Linked DNA regions of Styela clava. The protein of the gene in region 1 purifies or fractionates together with the protein of each later gene. This does not show direct contact. Links are inferred from orthologs where the notes say so. Each region holds a gene or a part of one and is shown in the gene's direction. Other genes may lie near its edges. The genes, in order: deubiquitinase OTUD6B-like and ubiquitin thioesterase OTUB1-like.

The links.
Region 2: the proteins of deubiquitinase OTUD6B-like (region 1) and ubiquitin thioesterase OTUB1-like fractionate together in Homo sapiens (co-fractionation; 4 studies listed by BioGRID and IntAct, with this or other methods). This does not show direct contact. The link is inferred for Styela clava from reciprocal best matches to the Homo sapiens genes OTUD6B and OTUB1.

The regions. Positions count from the first base shown.
Region 1 is NC_135255.1:3,218,380-3,224,980, forward strand, and holds deubiquitinase OTUD6B-like, read left to right. Parts: upstream 1-4,186; coding exon 4,187-5,086; 3' UTR 5,087-5,961; downstream 5,962-6,601. Other genes in the region: splicing factor YJU2-like, read left to right, coding at 1,995-2,489, 2,883-3,395; phosphatidylinositol N-acetylglucosaminyltransferase subunit Q-like, read left to right, coding at 6,001-6,601.
Region 2 is NC_135260.1:14,936,689-14,944,445, forward strand, and holds the start of ubiquitin thioesterase OTUB1-like, read left to right. Parts: upstream 1-4,649; 5' UTR 4,650-4,709; coding exon 4,710-4,788; intron 4,789-5,427; coding exon 5,428-5,489; intron 5,490-5,695; coding exon 5,696-5,794; intron 5,795-6,189; coding exon 6,190-6,308; intron 6,309-6,643; coding exon 6,644-6,728; intron 6,729-7,529; coding exon 7,530-7,724; intron 7,725-7,757. Other genes in the region: protein SCO1 homolog, mitochondrial-like, read left to right, coding at 1,677-2,513; NAD-dependent protein deacylase sirtuin-5, mitochondrial-like, read left to right, coding at 3,115-4,011. UniProt on the Homo sapiens protein: Hydrolase that can specifically remove 'Lys-48'-linked conjugated ubiquitin from proteins and plays an important regulatory role at the level of protein turnover by preventing degradation.

The DNA.
Region 1 (6,601 bases):
TGTTTACAACCCTGCTTGAACATCTGTCTGAGCAGCTGCAGAAACTGCAATTATCTAATATTCGGTATGGTTAAGAGTCAATGTAACAAACAAGGAAATCGATGTTCCAGGAAATCCTAATGTTAAGTAGCTAAGTACAGGTAATAGGCTATTGTTCAGTTGTTACACACTAAATATTGTATTTCATATGATTCTAATAATAGACACTAGAATAGACTTGAAAAAAGCCAAGAAAACGCCAAAAAGCCAAACGGAAATTCTGACGCCAAACGCGTTTGAAAAAAGCCAAAAATGGCAAATTTGGCGTTAAAAAAGCCAATATGGCAACCCTGTACCGCGCAGATCACAACAACTCTTCGTCTTAGCAGCAAGAATCACGTTTGCTTCTTCGCCGCAATCGCCACAAGATGCCGCTATTTTTCATTCTGATTACCAATTCGCACACAAAAAACGAATCTCTTGAAGTCCGTAGAAAATTTTGAAATAAATTAAGATAATAGCCTCCTGGAGAAAAATTCTATCTTTAACCACTGAAAATTTCAAAGCAATTGGTTCAGTAATCAAAGAGAAAAGCAATTTCTTCAAAACAACAAGATAAGCGCAACATAAAACAAAACGATCGCTATGTCCATTTCGTGTCCAAAAATGAAATGTAAGATTTTGGGGGTTATCAAATTAATGTCGAATTTTGACAGACAAAATTTTCTTGATGATCCATAATAAGTTGAAATTTTTTTTCAATTCAAATACATGTGAAATGTTTAATTAATGTTGCATTTTTTTATAGGATATTATTAGTTGGGTTTTTGCTAGATTCTGTTGTTAGACAGGAAATAGGAAAATCTTATTGGCATGATAGATATTCATATTTTCTGTCTAATCTTTAAAAATTTTGTTTTTCCATGCTAATATAAAATATATCTAATTATTTTCACCGTGATGAATTTGAGACAACTGAATTGTAACTACGATGAATTGCTGATATGGAATATGTGAAATATGATGTAATCTTTGTATGGGTATTGTATACCTATTTTTCTCCACCGAAACGGAATTCAAATAATACATTTGTATTCCGAACTCGATATTCCACTTGACAAAAAAAATATATATATTTAAAATATAACGATTGGCTTCTAAATTCTCGATACAACAATTCTGTTTTGACATGGATCTTTCCCCGACCTTTGACCCCCGGAAAATTTTTCTTATACTTTACCATTGCAAAATTTCCGGGGCTATTTTAAGAGTGCTTTTGCGAGTTGGCGCCTGTCAACTGGGGTATATGTTTCAAACCATCATTATGATTCATCGCATACAACAATCTGTGAGAAAAGTGTCTGAGCGGATGCGGAAATGGGGTATTGTTACGTCACTTTTTACATCTTGCTGATTAGCCAATGTCACGAGGTAAACAAGGAAGTCGATGCTCGGGGAAAGGTCCATTGGAATTTATTTGGCAAAAAAAATACCAGGATCGCAATCGCAACACTACTCTGCGACGATGCAACGTGTAGTCGCTCCGTTTGCGAGACGGGGGTCTGAGATAGGATAGGATTTACATATTTATCCCGGGGGAGAGGAAAGCCGATAAGACGGCTTATCCATATGGCGAAACACGGCCTCTCGTCCAGTTACCATTCCAAGTCGGGTATGAGATTAGTTATATTGTTTGTTTTCAGAAGCATGGACTTGGACTTGCAGAGTGATTAGAGGTGCGGTGGCGAGCGTATTCCTAACGCTTAGCCCGTTGAGCCACACCGCTGCGCCATAATATAATTGGACTGTTTGATACTATAAAATTTGAAAGTCGTTGTATTGAGAACTTTTTGTTAAATTTGTTAAAAATATTTTTTGTCATTTTTGTGGGTCTGTGAGTCATTGTGTCAAGCATTTATTGAGTAAAATTTGTTTATTTTTTGCGTTATATTTTGAGCAAGTAGACTACGGTACAGTATATTCAGATATTGCTGGTAATATCGTCTTGATCCGCCATGTCTGAGAGAAAAGTTCTCAACAAATACTATCCCCCGGATTATGATCCTTCATTGATACCCAAGCTCAAGTTAGCTAAAGATAGACAATATGTAATACGTGTTATGGCACCTTTTCATATGCGGTGTAAGACTTGTGGAAATTACATTTACAAAGGAACAAAATTTAATTCAAGAAAAGAAACTGTCCAAGATGATGATTATCTTGGTTTGAGAATTTTTCGATTTTATATCAAATGCACAAAATGTGTTGCTGAAATAACATTCAAAACTGATCCTGAGAATACAGATTATGTCATTGAACATGGTGCCACTCGAAATTTTGAGGCAGAAAAACTTCTCCAAAAACAAGAGAAAGAAATCGAGAAACAAAGGGAAGAAGATGAAGGAAATCCAATGAAACTGCTTGAAATGAGAACAAGGGACTCAAAAAGAGAAATGGAGAGAATGGAAAATCTTGAAGAATTAAGAGATCTCAATCAACGACATGCTAAGGTAGGATTTTCAATATGATGTTCGATGACATTGAAGAATTTGTTACTTCATAAGATTGTGGTTATTCCATATTGTATATTATATTTGTATCTTGTAAATTTTATTTGACTCCCAGTTTTTAAATAAATAGCATACAATGAGGTGTTTATAAAATTTCATGTTTGTCGAGGGCTAGAATGTTAAAAAACAAATTAAATATTTATAATAATTTAAAATTGATTTCTGGATTAATTTAGAATGTCCCATTCGAAAAATTATTATTTTGAGCAATTTTAGTATCACAGATTTTGAAGTCACAAAGTAAAACTTTACATTACTATTTAGATTTGTCCATCCCTGTGCAATGAGGAGAGTGAATATTTCTAATTTATATGAATTTCTTGGTGTATCTAGGTCAATTACGAAGGAATGCTACAGAGCTATCAAGAAACAGTGGAAGAAAAAAAAAAGAGAGAAGCAGAAGAAGATGAGGAAGAAATGAAGACTATTTTTGGGAGTAACAAAATAAGACGACTGAATGATAGTGATGATGAAGATGACAAATCTGATGTTAAGAATATTGTGAAAGAAGAAATTAATGCCCCTTCCGATTTATTATTGTCATCAGAAGAAACAAAAATTACTAATAAAAGCACAAAAAGTATTTCTTCTGTTCCTTCTAATAAGGATACTATAAAGAAAAAGGCCCAGCTTTTGGGTATTGTAGTAAAAAAGTCGATCGAAAAATTCCCAAAAATAGATAATTTTAATCATCAATCTGAGGATAAATCAGAATTAACCAAAACAATGTCAGTGATTAAAACTGAGAAAACTCTAAAAGATACTGTACTAGCCAAACCGGCTGGGCTTAGTTTGCTCGGAGCCTATGGAAGTGATGATAGTAACACATCCAGCGATGATGATTAGAATGTATTTTTTCAACTATGAATTCAATCATACCTGCATATTCCTGCACAAATTTGTAAATAAGAATTATGCATCCAGGCTGACAATAAGTTTATACAAACATTGGGTCGTGATTCAAGTTAAATCCATTACTTTTTTACTATGAAACCATATGATACGCTTTAGCGTAGGTTAATGCAATGTTAATTGTAATTTATATCAGGGACTTCTAACGAGTTTTTTCACTCACATTTGTTTTTTATATTCTTCTCGACAAGAGTCAAGGTTGCTTAGGACTGGAAGTAGGACTGAGATGAAATTTATATTGACTTTTTTAGCATTAAGTCATGATTTAAACCAGACTATGACCCTTTTTGCTTACTATCAAACATCCTATTTTTCTAAATGTGTGAAGGTTCATTTTTGTCCGCTAATGCAAAAGACCACATTTGTTGGTTTTTGACAATCGGCATTTTCATTTTGCTTGTTATAAATATGTGCTGCTTTGTAAATACAGATTTTTGAAATAGTGTTTTGTGCGTTGCCACAAATACTACAAGTCAGTCCATTTGACATATTTGGTTGAACATAGATAACAATTCAAGGGTAATAGTCTATCACTTATTATTAGGATGTGCACCTTTCTTCTGAGTGTGATATTCAATCCAGGTCCTTTTATTTGTAGCTATCGAGATCAATATTTAAAAAATTCTCATTTTGCAGTCTGTAAGAAATAATTTATTGCCTATAATAATAGTCAATATTGTTATTTTTCAGGATTGTAATTTCTGGGTTCTCTATTTAAAGAGAAGATGTCAGATAACGAGGATATCGATGATCCACAGGAGGCATTGTCTGCCAGGCATAAATTGGAGAAAAAAGAATTGCAAGGGAAAATTCAATCCTTGAAAAAGGGAGTTCCGAAAGGAGATAAGAAGAAAAACAAAGAGATGAAAGCACAAATTGCAATTCTTGAAAGTGAACTTTATGAGAAACATGATAAAGAAATTGCTGAATTGACAGAAAAATTGGAGCTAATGAATAGTGAGGATATGACCGATACTTCAAAGGCTACTAATGAAAATGATGAACCTGGCAGATCAGAACCTTCTCAACAAAGAGTTAGTAAAGCGCAAAAGAAGAGAGAAAAAAAAGCTTTGAAAGTGAAAGAACAAGCTGAAATTGCTGCACAAGCTGAAAAGGACTATGTTAACACACAAAGATATGCAGAAGAGGAAAAAATCAAGACCATATTAACAAAAATGAGTCTAAAAGTGAAGCCCATGATACCTGATGGTAATTGTCTATATTATGCAGTTGTAGATCAGCTGAAGATGAATTTGATGATGTTACATTCACCGAAAGAATTAAGAACATTGACATCAACATTTATGCTTTCTCATGAAGACGATTTTTCCCCTTTTCTAACTAGTTCTGATACAGGCGATTGTTATTCTCCTGAGGAATTCAAACAGTATTGCAAAGATGTTGCAGAGACTACAGCTTGGGGTGGTCAATTGGAACTGCGAGCTTTGTCCCATATCTTACAGACTTCAATTCATGTGATACAAGCAGACATGCCCACTGTAAAAATTGGTGAGGAATATAAAGGAAATCCACTAATACTAACATATCATAGACATGAGCTGGGGCTGGGCGAGCACTATAATTCAGTTCAACCATCAAAACCTGATTCAAATGGACTATCATAGCATATTGTTGTTAATTTTTTGTGCATGACGGTTTATAGCCAGATACAAAGTCTCACACATGTCTATTCAACGGACGAATTGGAATATGTTTTATAATGCAGTTTTCTTCAAACTTTTTTATCACGATCCAATTGGCATGGCAAAATTTCTTCACGACCCTCAGTAACTATAATAAAAAAAATGTAAAATTTAATGATACCGAAAATATTAAAATAAAGTACCGGTAATAAAATTTATAATGCCTTTAATGAGATCGATGTGCTTGCATATTCTCGCACAAAAAGTCGAATCTTGCTTGGGTCTCAATACTGGTTCCAAATTTGATCGATATTTCGTTTTAATGTAAGTTGTCAGTACTTGATAATAATGAAAAATACCGCTACTTCCATTGAGCCCTTCCGTAACCCATCGGGGGTCGGGACCCTCAATTTGAAGAGCCCTTATATATTTCATTATAGATCCTTATCATGAGTAGTGAAATTTTAAATGAGATTGTGCGTAACAAGCATTATTGCTTTCTGATTCAATTTAAACTTCAGTCAGTAATTGAGTTTACTGATACTGATGTGGATCTAGTCTATAATTGCAGAGTACTTTTATTTTGAAGTTATATATTGCTGCTTTCATCAGCAATCATGTTGCTTAAATAGATACTGATAAGATTGTATACATCCAGATAGTATGATTCTAAAATCCAATTGTGAGATTTAATATAAGTTAATGGAGATTTTGAAATTTTTTTCAATTCATCCACAACATTTGAATTGAATAAAGAATTTTTAAACATTAATAAAGCTTTTGATTCACTAAATCAGTGTCGTAATGGCATAATCATGTTTTTTTTGTTGTTTTTACTGAATGGGCATGAACAGTAGTGCGTGAAACTTTATCTAGATGCAAGAATCTGAGTTCAAATGTTGAAGGAAATATTTCTACCGGAATGTTGCATCCGTTCACAATCAGGAATATTGATTGGTGCTTCAAATGATGACGACACTGTATTATATGTTGTTGCCGTTGTACACTTTCCCGTTACACCAAAGAGTTTGAATGCTTACCTTTCTAAATATGAAAAACTGCATGATACTGTCAAACTACGTCCCTTGGGAACTTGGATTTCTAATGAATCCAAGGAGAAACATGAATTTGAACATATACTACCAAAACTCTTTGGACAAAAGACATGGATTTCCATAAAGATGTCAAAAAACAGTGATGATGAAACCGTTTTTACAGCTGAGGATCTTGAAATACAAAATATCAGTGCATCATCGATATTATTAACAAATCAATATGTAAAAACTAATGCAGATGTTATGGCAGTAATTTACAACCAGAAAGACATCTGGGATGGTGAACTTTGCTCAGATTCGTTTTTGAATGTACACAATTCCAATGGTTCTATTGAAAATTTGTTTGTCTTGATTTCTGCCTGCAAAAATGGGATTCTTTCATATGAATATGGAATAAATTCAAATGATGGCGTTCATGTAACACACTGCTGCATGCAAAGGG
Region 2 (7,757 bases), on another chromosome or scaffold:
ATTAGAGTGTTTTTTATTCCCAATTGCGTTATATATTTAGATAGCATATATCTTAAAGTTCAAAATCCACCCGTCGGTTTCGATTCTAGTCCTTATAACAGCTGACTTATTCGATTCGGTACAACAACACGACAAAAATTTTCCATAAGACTCCATTGTTTCGCGTTTCCCAAATGTGGCCCAAACTTGTTTAACATTAGGCAAGTTGGTTGCCGGCCGTTGGTATCAAAGTGTTATAGGCACTTTGGCTGGTATGACTATTGACTATATGTATGGTAGTGGAAATCTGGATGCTGATTACCTCACTCCGGGTAAAAAGGCAGTCAGAATGCGGGCGTTCGATTTCGTGCTTCGCTATTTGTTCTTTGTAAAAGACTACGCCGATGCGTGGTCACAAAATAGTTGTATTTCATTGGTTGGTTGTTCCGCTTTCTTTTTGGTAGATATATATATCTTCACTTAAGTGACATATTTTGGCATTTGAAGAAAATTGCATTTTATTACAATAGGCACCAAAAGTAAATATAGCATTTCCCATCAAGTGAGAGAAAACGCGAATTGAACATTTCTGCAAAATTCTGCATTCACTGATTTAGGATTGAACACTCATTTGTAACAGGTTGCAAGGATTTTCATTAAATAATAACAGGTTGGTTTGTCGAGATGTAACTTTAAATGCAGAAATGACTAGAATTATCTGTAATAATAATTATGTAAATCATAATCCCATGGATTGTATGATTGTGGCCTACGCCTGTGACCATTCCAAGTTTCATTATATAAGAAGTTGGTTATATGTACATTTTTGGTTTGCATATGCGAAGTCCACAAGCACTTAGTCTACCTCGATGCATAATTGCTGATAGAATATTTATAATTAATTATTGATTTAGCATTCTCAGAGCTAGACTATGTCTGTATGTAGCTTGCAGTAGAGTCTGAGACTGAGAGTATAGATTTATTTATATGAGACAAATCTCATAATAAATTGTGAAATAACAGTATCAGCCATTTTTGATGGCGTTTCCCTAATCCGTTGATGACAGGTGCGATGTATTTACCCGCTAGTCTGTTACGACTTCACTCAGTACGGCACACTATACAGATCGAGCGACATTGTCTCATTTCAGAGAAACCCGTTTTACAGATGACCAGACACCCCTCCTTTGGGGACGTCTGGACATGGTTGTCCCTCAATATGAAGTTGTGCAAAAAACTACAGAGAAGCACAATTTAAAAACGTCATCATTGAATTCCTTTGGGAAAAATAATCCCATTTACAGAAGGAAAATATTTTCTACCGTGGCATTCGAGAGTTTTGAGAAAAAAATGGCAATTTTAGTCACATGACGGATGCAATTAATTTAGATAATTATCCATCTACCGTCGTGCCAGACGCCCCCTCGTTTGTGAGACACATGGAGTGTTTGTTTTATTGAACCAAATGACGGGACATTCTTGGAATTTGGATAGTGTGCCGTACTGCCACTGTCAAGTCCATGCGTCTGAAACAAATAACTGGCTATCGAAACTAACCCCATATTCAACATGAACGAGGAACCAGATGAGAGGTTGTGGTATGCCATATGATAAGTCATCTATTTGTGTTTCCTTCTCCCTCAAGATAAATATGAAAATCCTATACTTGTTTTATTTTTGTGTAGAAACATATAAGAATGAGGTTACTGTGTTTGCTAAAAACTATATCCCCACATTGCTATGCCATACAGCATCGTACTTACGGAACATTGGCCAAGTCAAAAAATATATGTTTGAACTTTGTAAATCCATCAAGAACAAAAGTATTTCAAAAACAATTCTCTACCTCAGGAAGACTATATTTTCCAATTCGAAAACGTAGGTCGCCAACACTAGCACCTGGTGTAGGTTGGATGTCTGTGTTGTTTATTGCAACTGTAGGTTCTATTTCTATCCTTATTATGAAGCATTTCAAGTCGAAAAAAGAAGAGAAATTTGAATCTAATATGATAAAGTCAATGGGAAAACCAGCTTTAGGGGGAGATTTTACTCTTATAGATCAAGACGGCAAACAATGCAGTAATCGCGACTTTTTAGGTCAATGGGTTCTTATCTACTTTGGGTTCACCCACTGTCCTGACATTTGTCCTGAAGAACTAGAAAAAATGGGAAATGTTGTTGATACAATCAAGAGAACTCCGCAGTTGCCAGACGTTCAACCTTTATTTATAAGTATTGATCCTGACAGAGACACTCCTGATGCTGTTAAAAAATATATTGCTGATTTTCATCCTAATCTTATTGGTTTGACTGGAAATCGTGAGCAAGTTGAAAATGCTTCAAGAGCTTTTAGAGTTTATTATGCTGAAGGTCCAAAAGACTCGGAAGATGATTATATTGTAGACCATACTGTGATAATGTATTTATTAAATCCTGATGGGGAATTTTGTGAATATTTTGGTCAAAACAAATCAGCAGGAGAAATGTCTTCAAGTATTTCTTCAATAATGTTAAAATTCAAGCACAAAGATTGAAAAACAACTAATTTATTATCAAGTAGATTCTTATCTGAAAAATGCAAAGCATTATCTTCGTTATAGAAACAATGAAATTCGGGCAAAATTGAATGGTGACCGTACATTTGAACCCACGTACATTTGAACCCATGCGTATATCCACAGGTTCAATCTATATTCGGGTGCTAAAACCCATGGGTTAGGGTTAGTATGGGTTTAACTAACAAAAAAAATTCCATAGGTGCAATAGCATACAGGAGCAATTGTCATGGGTTCAAATGTACGTGGGTTCAAATGTAATGGAACCTAATTGAATATATCTTGTTATGAAAATCTCATGCTGTTGGATACTATCGATTTACAATCTTATAGAACTCTGCTAATAATTTATTATTGGTTTTAGCAGCGACCTTTTATTATATGCATATGTTGCATATTGCCTTTTTTCAGTTATAGCTCCTCGTCTATATGTTCAAACACTATCTCTTACCAAATAGGATAATGCACCCAAGTAGCAATCACCTATCTTAGCAAAATGATATATTTTTTAAAATTCTTATTAATGGCAAATAATGGTTTTTTAATTTAGAAACTAGTACTAATTTAGTGCTATAATAGTATGAAATGTTTTCTACATTTCTCTAATTCATGTAAAAGTATTTTACACCAAATTGTGAAGTCTTCGATATCTATTTACACCATGGCAGCAGCAAGACCAAGTTCGGATTTGGCTGCTTTCCGTGCAGAGTTTGAACGAGCAAAGAATATTGTTGTGCTGTCTGGCGCAGGAGTAAGTGCAGAAAGTGGGGTGCCCACATTCCGCGGAGCTGGTGGCTTTTGGAGAAAATGGCAGGCTCAGGATTTAGCGTCACCAAAAGCATTTGAATCTAATCCATCATTAGTTTGGGAATTTTATCATTACCGTCGTGAAGTCATGATAACAAAAAATCCAAATCCTGCGCATTTGGCTATCGCAGAATGCGAAAGTCGTTTGAAGAGTAATGCTCGGAAATTAACTGTCATTACTCAGAATATAGATGAGCTCCACAAGACAGCAGGATCTGAAAACATTATTGAATTACATGGATCATTGTTCAGAGTTCGATGCACAAAGTGTGGAAAAGTGGATGTGAACAAAGATTCTCCGATCTGTGAGGCATTGAGAGATCGGGGTGCTCCTGACCCAACTGCTCAAGATGCAAAAATACCAGTCGAAAATTTGCCGAAATGTAAAAGTTGTGATGGATTATTGAGGCCCGATGTTGTTTGGTTTGGTGAAGGACTAGATCAAAAAGTTCTCGAGCGAGCAGGCGAAGAACTTGAAAAATGTGATCTTTGTCTGGTTGTTGGTACATCGTCTGTTGTTTACCCGGCTGCCATGTTTGCTCCGATGTTATCTTACCGTGGTGTTACTGTGGCGGAGTTCAATTTGGAGGATACACCTGCAACCATGAACTTTAAATACCATTTTTGTGGTCCTGCGGGAGAGTGGATACCAAAAGCCTTAGCCCCTTGATCTGCTAACTGAGGTCGAATTGACACTTGTATATGATGCAAATATATTGCAGTCAACATGTAATTTATCTTCCATATGTTTTATGATAGCACTTTTTTTTAATTATTCTCCTATACATTTTTACTCCGTACTTATTGCATCTTATGGTACAACACTTTGTAAATTGCTGCTTTTTGCTGGGAGCATATGTAACCTGATGATAAAATCTATACCTTTTAAATATTTCATATAGTGCAATTAGAAATACCGTTCACATCATGTTAATAATACAGAGCAATGTATTAAAATGATGCTATTGTTTATGCTTAACTATGTTAGTCTTTTTTGGATGTCTTTGATTCAAATCATATCACATAAAATATTATAAATGGAGTATATGTTACTATTGTCCCAATGTCCCATAAACATAAATTGCATATTATATCAATGTCCCTCAATAGTCAATAGTATGACATTGTCATGGCTAGGCATTCTCAACTTTTCTTCGTATCATATCACAGAAATATATAAGAAAAATTTTATAATCGTTTCTAAAAACCTTCCTCAATCACATGTCTAGTTCTAGATTATTTTATAATACATATGCTTAAAATGCCCAGAGTGCAATCTATAGACTGTGTTAAATAGCTTATCTTTCTCTGTAATTTTACTTGCTTGACTTTTAGCAGAATATAAATAATTCTTTGTTATTCCATCTCATGATGGCAACCAGTAATAGTAAATCCGATGAAGAAGTCAAACAGGACACAAGTGATTCGGATGGTGCAATTTTACAAGGTATAATGAATATACATGAAGTTTTGATTTTAAGGGATTTTATTATCATTTTAAACTTCGTATATTTCAGATTCAACTAGATATGTAGTAGCCATGGTAAATACCTAGAAAATTTTACTGGAATGGGATTTATTATACCATTAATTTCAAATAGAAGAAGGGTACCCCTGGTATTGGAGAGGCCAGCGTAAGCATTCATTAATGAATCAAAGAGACGAGAGCAATGGTTTCAACCTTTTTTCTTTTCTGGCGCACTTTCGTTGCACAAAAACAATTCTGTGGCCCAGCAACTTTCTCATTCAAGAGAAAAACTAAATAAAAAAAAATTCCTCCCTGCAAAAATAGACAATGCCACTTTTTTAATCAAAATGAAAATTACCACTCAATTCCGGTAAATGATACCAATTCATCAATAACTGATGTCCCATCTAAAAATGTTTCCGTGGGCCATGGCCCTCTAGTTGAGAACCGGTGTCCTAGAGTCAGCTAAATGAAATGACTCAAACTTGTAATCAACAGTGATACCAAAACTCGGAGATCAACTTGGATGACCCATGACACGAGGATTAGGGAATTGTACCTTACACTTCGATGCTTTTGCTATTTTTTTGTATAATATATTCACTTATCATTTTCCAGCAATGCAAAACCAGGAAATTGATGAAGCGATATATGCAATGCATAATCAAATACAGAAAGATGTAAGACAATTTTTTTTCTTGCTCTGTTTAAGATAGTTTTTGAACAAATATGGCATATATGATTTGCTAAACTATCTGGAACCGTTATTTCATAAGTGTTCATGCTGTCAAATCTATCTTCATTTGTGGACAACAGAGTCGCTGTCACCAGGGATGAACAATTCATTGTTTTTACTATCCTCATATTTCTTCCGTTTTATAAACAGATAGCAAAAGAAAACGAATTGGTTAGTGATAAGATGGAAATCATGCAACTACAAAACGAATATGCTGAAGATGATGCTGTATATTTACAAAAAGTGAAGGTATTGTTAGTTAGCTTTCCTATAGTTAGAAAATTGCTCGTTTAATTCAGAATTCATATTGCTTTTTTGGATTATATTTTTGTTGCCCGCTATTGAATTTATGGAAGTAACACTAATAGCTATACTTGTATGGATTTACCACAAATGAGGAAATTTCTACACCAAATAAAACCCCATGTTCATAAATTTTACATTGTGTCTTGTGTAAATTATTTAGAAGTGGTTTTTGAGCATACACATTCTATTAGATTGGAATACTGTGATAAAGAAATGTTTATGTATATATTTGAAGCATATCAAATACATTTTCTCCTTATTTTTATCCAGTTTAAAATAGGGAATCATTACATTTATTATGGCATTCTTGATAACTGTACTTTTCACAAATTTTTCAGATTCTTTCAGAGAAGTACAGCCATGTTAGGAAGACAAGGGGAGATGGTAATTGTTTCTATAGAGCTTTTGGGTTTGGTTATCTTGAGTATCTGCTGCAAAATAAAGATTGTTTTTCTGGGTAAGATTTTGTCACATTGCAAATGAAGACACACACAACAGATATATGCAACAATCTAATAATTTGGGAGATTGCCATGTTAAAGATTTACAGTTCACAAGTGCTGCGCAATCTTCACACTTAACATCATGCACTAACCGCCTAGTCTCATGGAATATTTCAAATACACACTCTGGTTGTCATAAATAGCCTATGACGAATCAAGAAGACTTTAGTACTTCGCCTACTTCCATAAAAATATCCCTATAAATGACTCCTTAATCCTAATCAAAGAATTTATTACTGTATATAATATACTAGATTGATTATCAACGTGTTGCTCTTTATTGCACCAGGTTCAGAGCAAAAGCTTCAGAAACCAAAGACAAATTAGAAAAATTAGGTTATCCTTCATTCACTGTGGAAGATTTTCATGATCAAGTAAGTTTCGAAAATATAGCATTAAGCCCATGCATATGAAACAATTAACTCACTAGCCAATCCCATACCGGGTCAATTCAGAATACTGAATCGTCTGGAGTTCGAATCCAGAAGGATCTGAGAACAGGATTCGGTTCCAAGCGTAAATTTTTTTATTACCGGTTTCTACGTATTGAAACTAAGACGAGCGTAAAAACGGCAAACATACCACAACGAGTACTCTTTATTGCTACATTTTCGCGTTTTCCGACTTTACTATCTCACTTGGCGATACTCACTTTACCATGTTTCATTTTCCATTAAATGGTTTTTCGCGGAAAGCCAGATGTTAAATGCTATAACAATGTTTACGATCAATTAACATCAAATAATATTTGCGAGTGTCGTAATTCAAATACTGTACTTTTATGACACGCCTTCTCTTGAATTTCATTGTCCTGAGAAATGCCTGTTTGGAATGAAATAAAATGTACAAAAAAGATAGTAATACATTAGGCTACAATTTTACTTTTTTAAATTTTTAATCAAGCAATGTGATGGGGAATTCTCACTCACACAAATATTGGTAACTATGGAAACAGAATATGATTGGATTGAAGTATTTTAGAATAGTAAGTCATTGTACATTGCCCATCCTTACAGCCATATCGACATGTGAGCGAACGAGAGGCCATGTTACACTATGTGATTAAACTGATGCTTTTTGCCGAAGATGCCATGTTAATTGCATAGTAAACTTTCAGGGGAGTTTGTGAAATAGTTTGCATTGATCATTGCCTTATTTCATTTTTTTCTCTTCAGTTTATATCAGTTGTGGATTCTGTAGGATCTGGAATAACGGTAGAAGAACTTTTGCAAACATTCAGAGATGAAGGAATCTCTAATTATTTAGTTGTTTATTTACGATTGGTTACTTCAAGTCATTTACAACAAAACAGTGAATTTTTTCAGAATTTTGTTGATGAGTATAGAACTGTTGAAGATTTCTGTAAAGGGGTAAATTCAATAATTATCATTTCTTCTATTGGG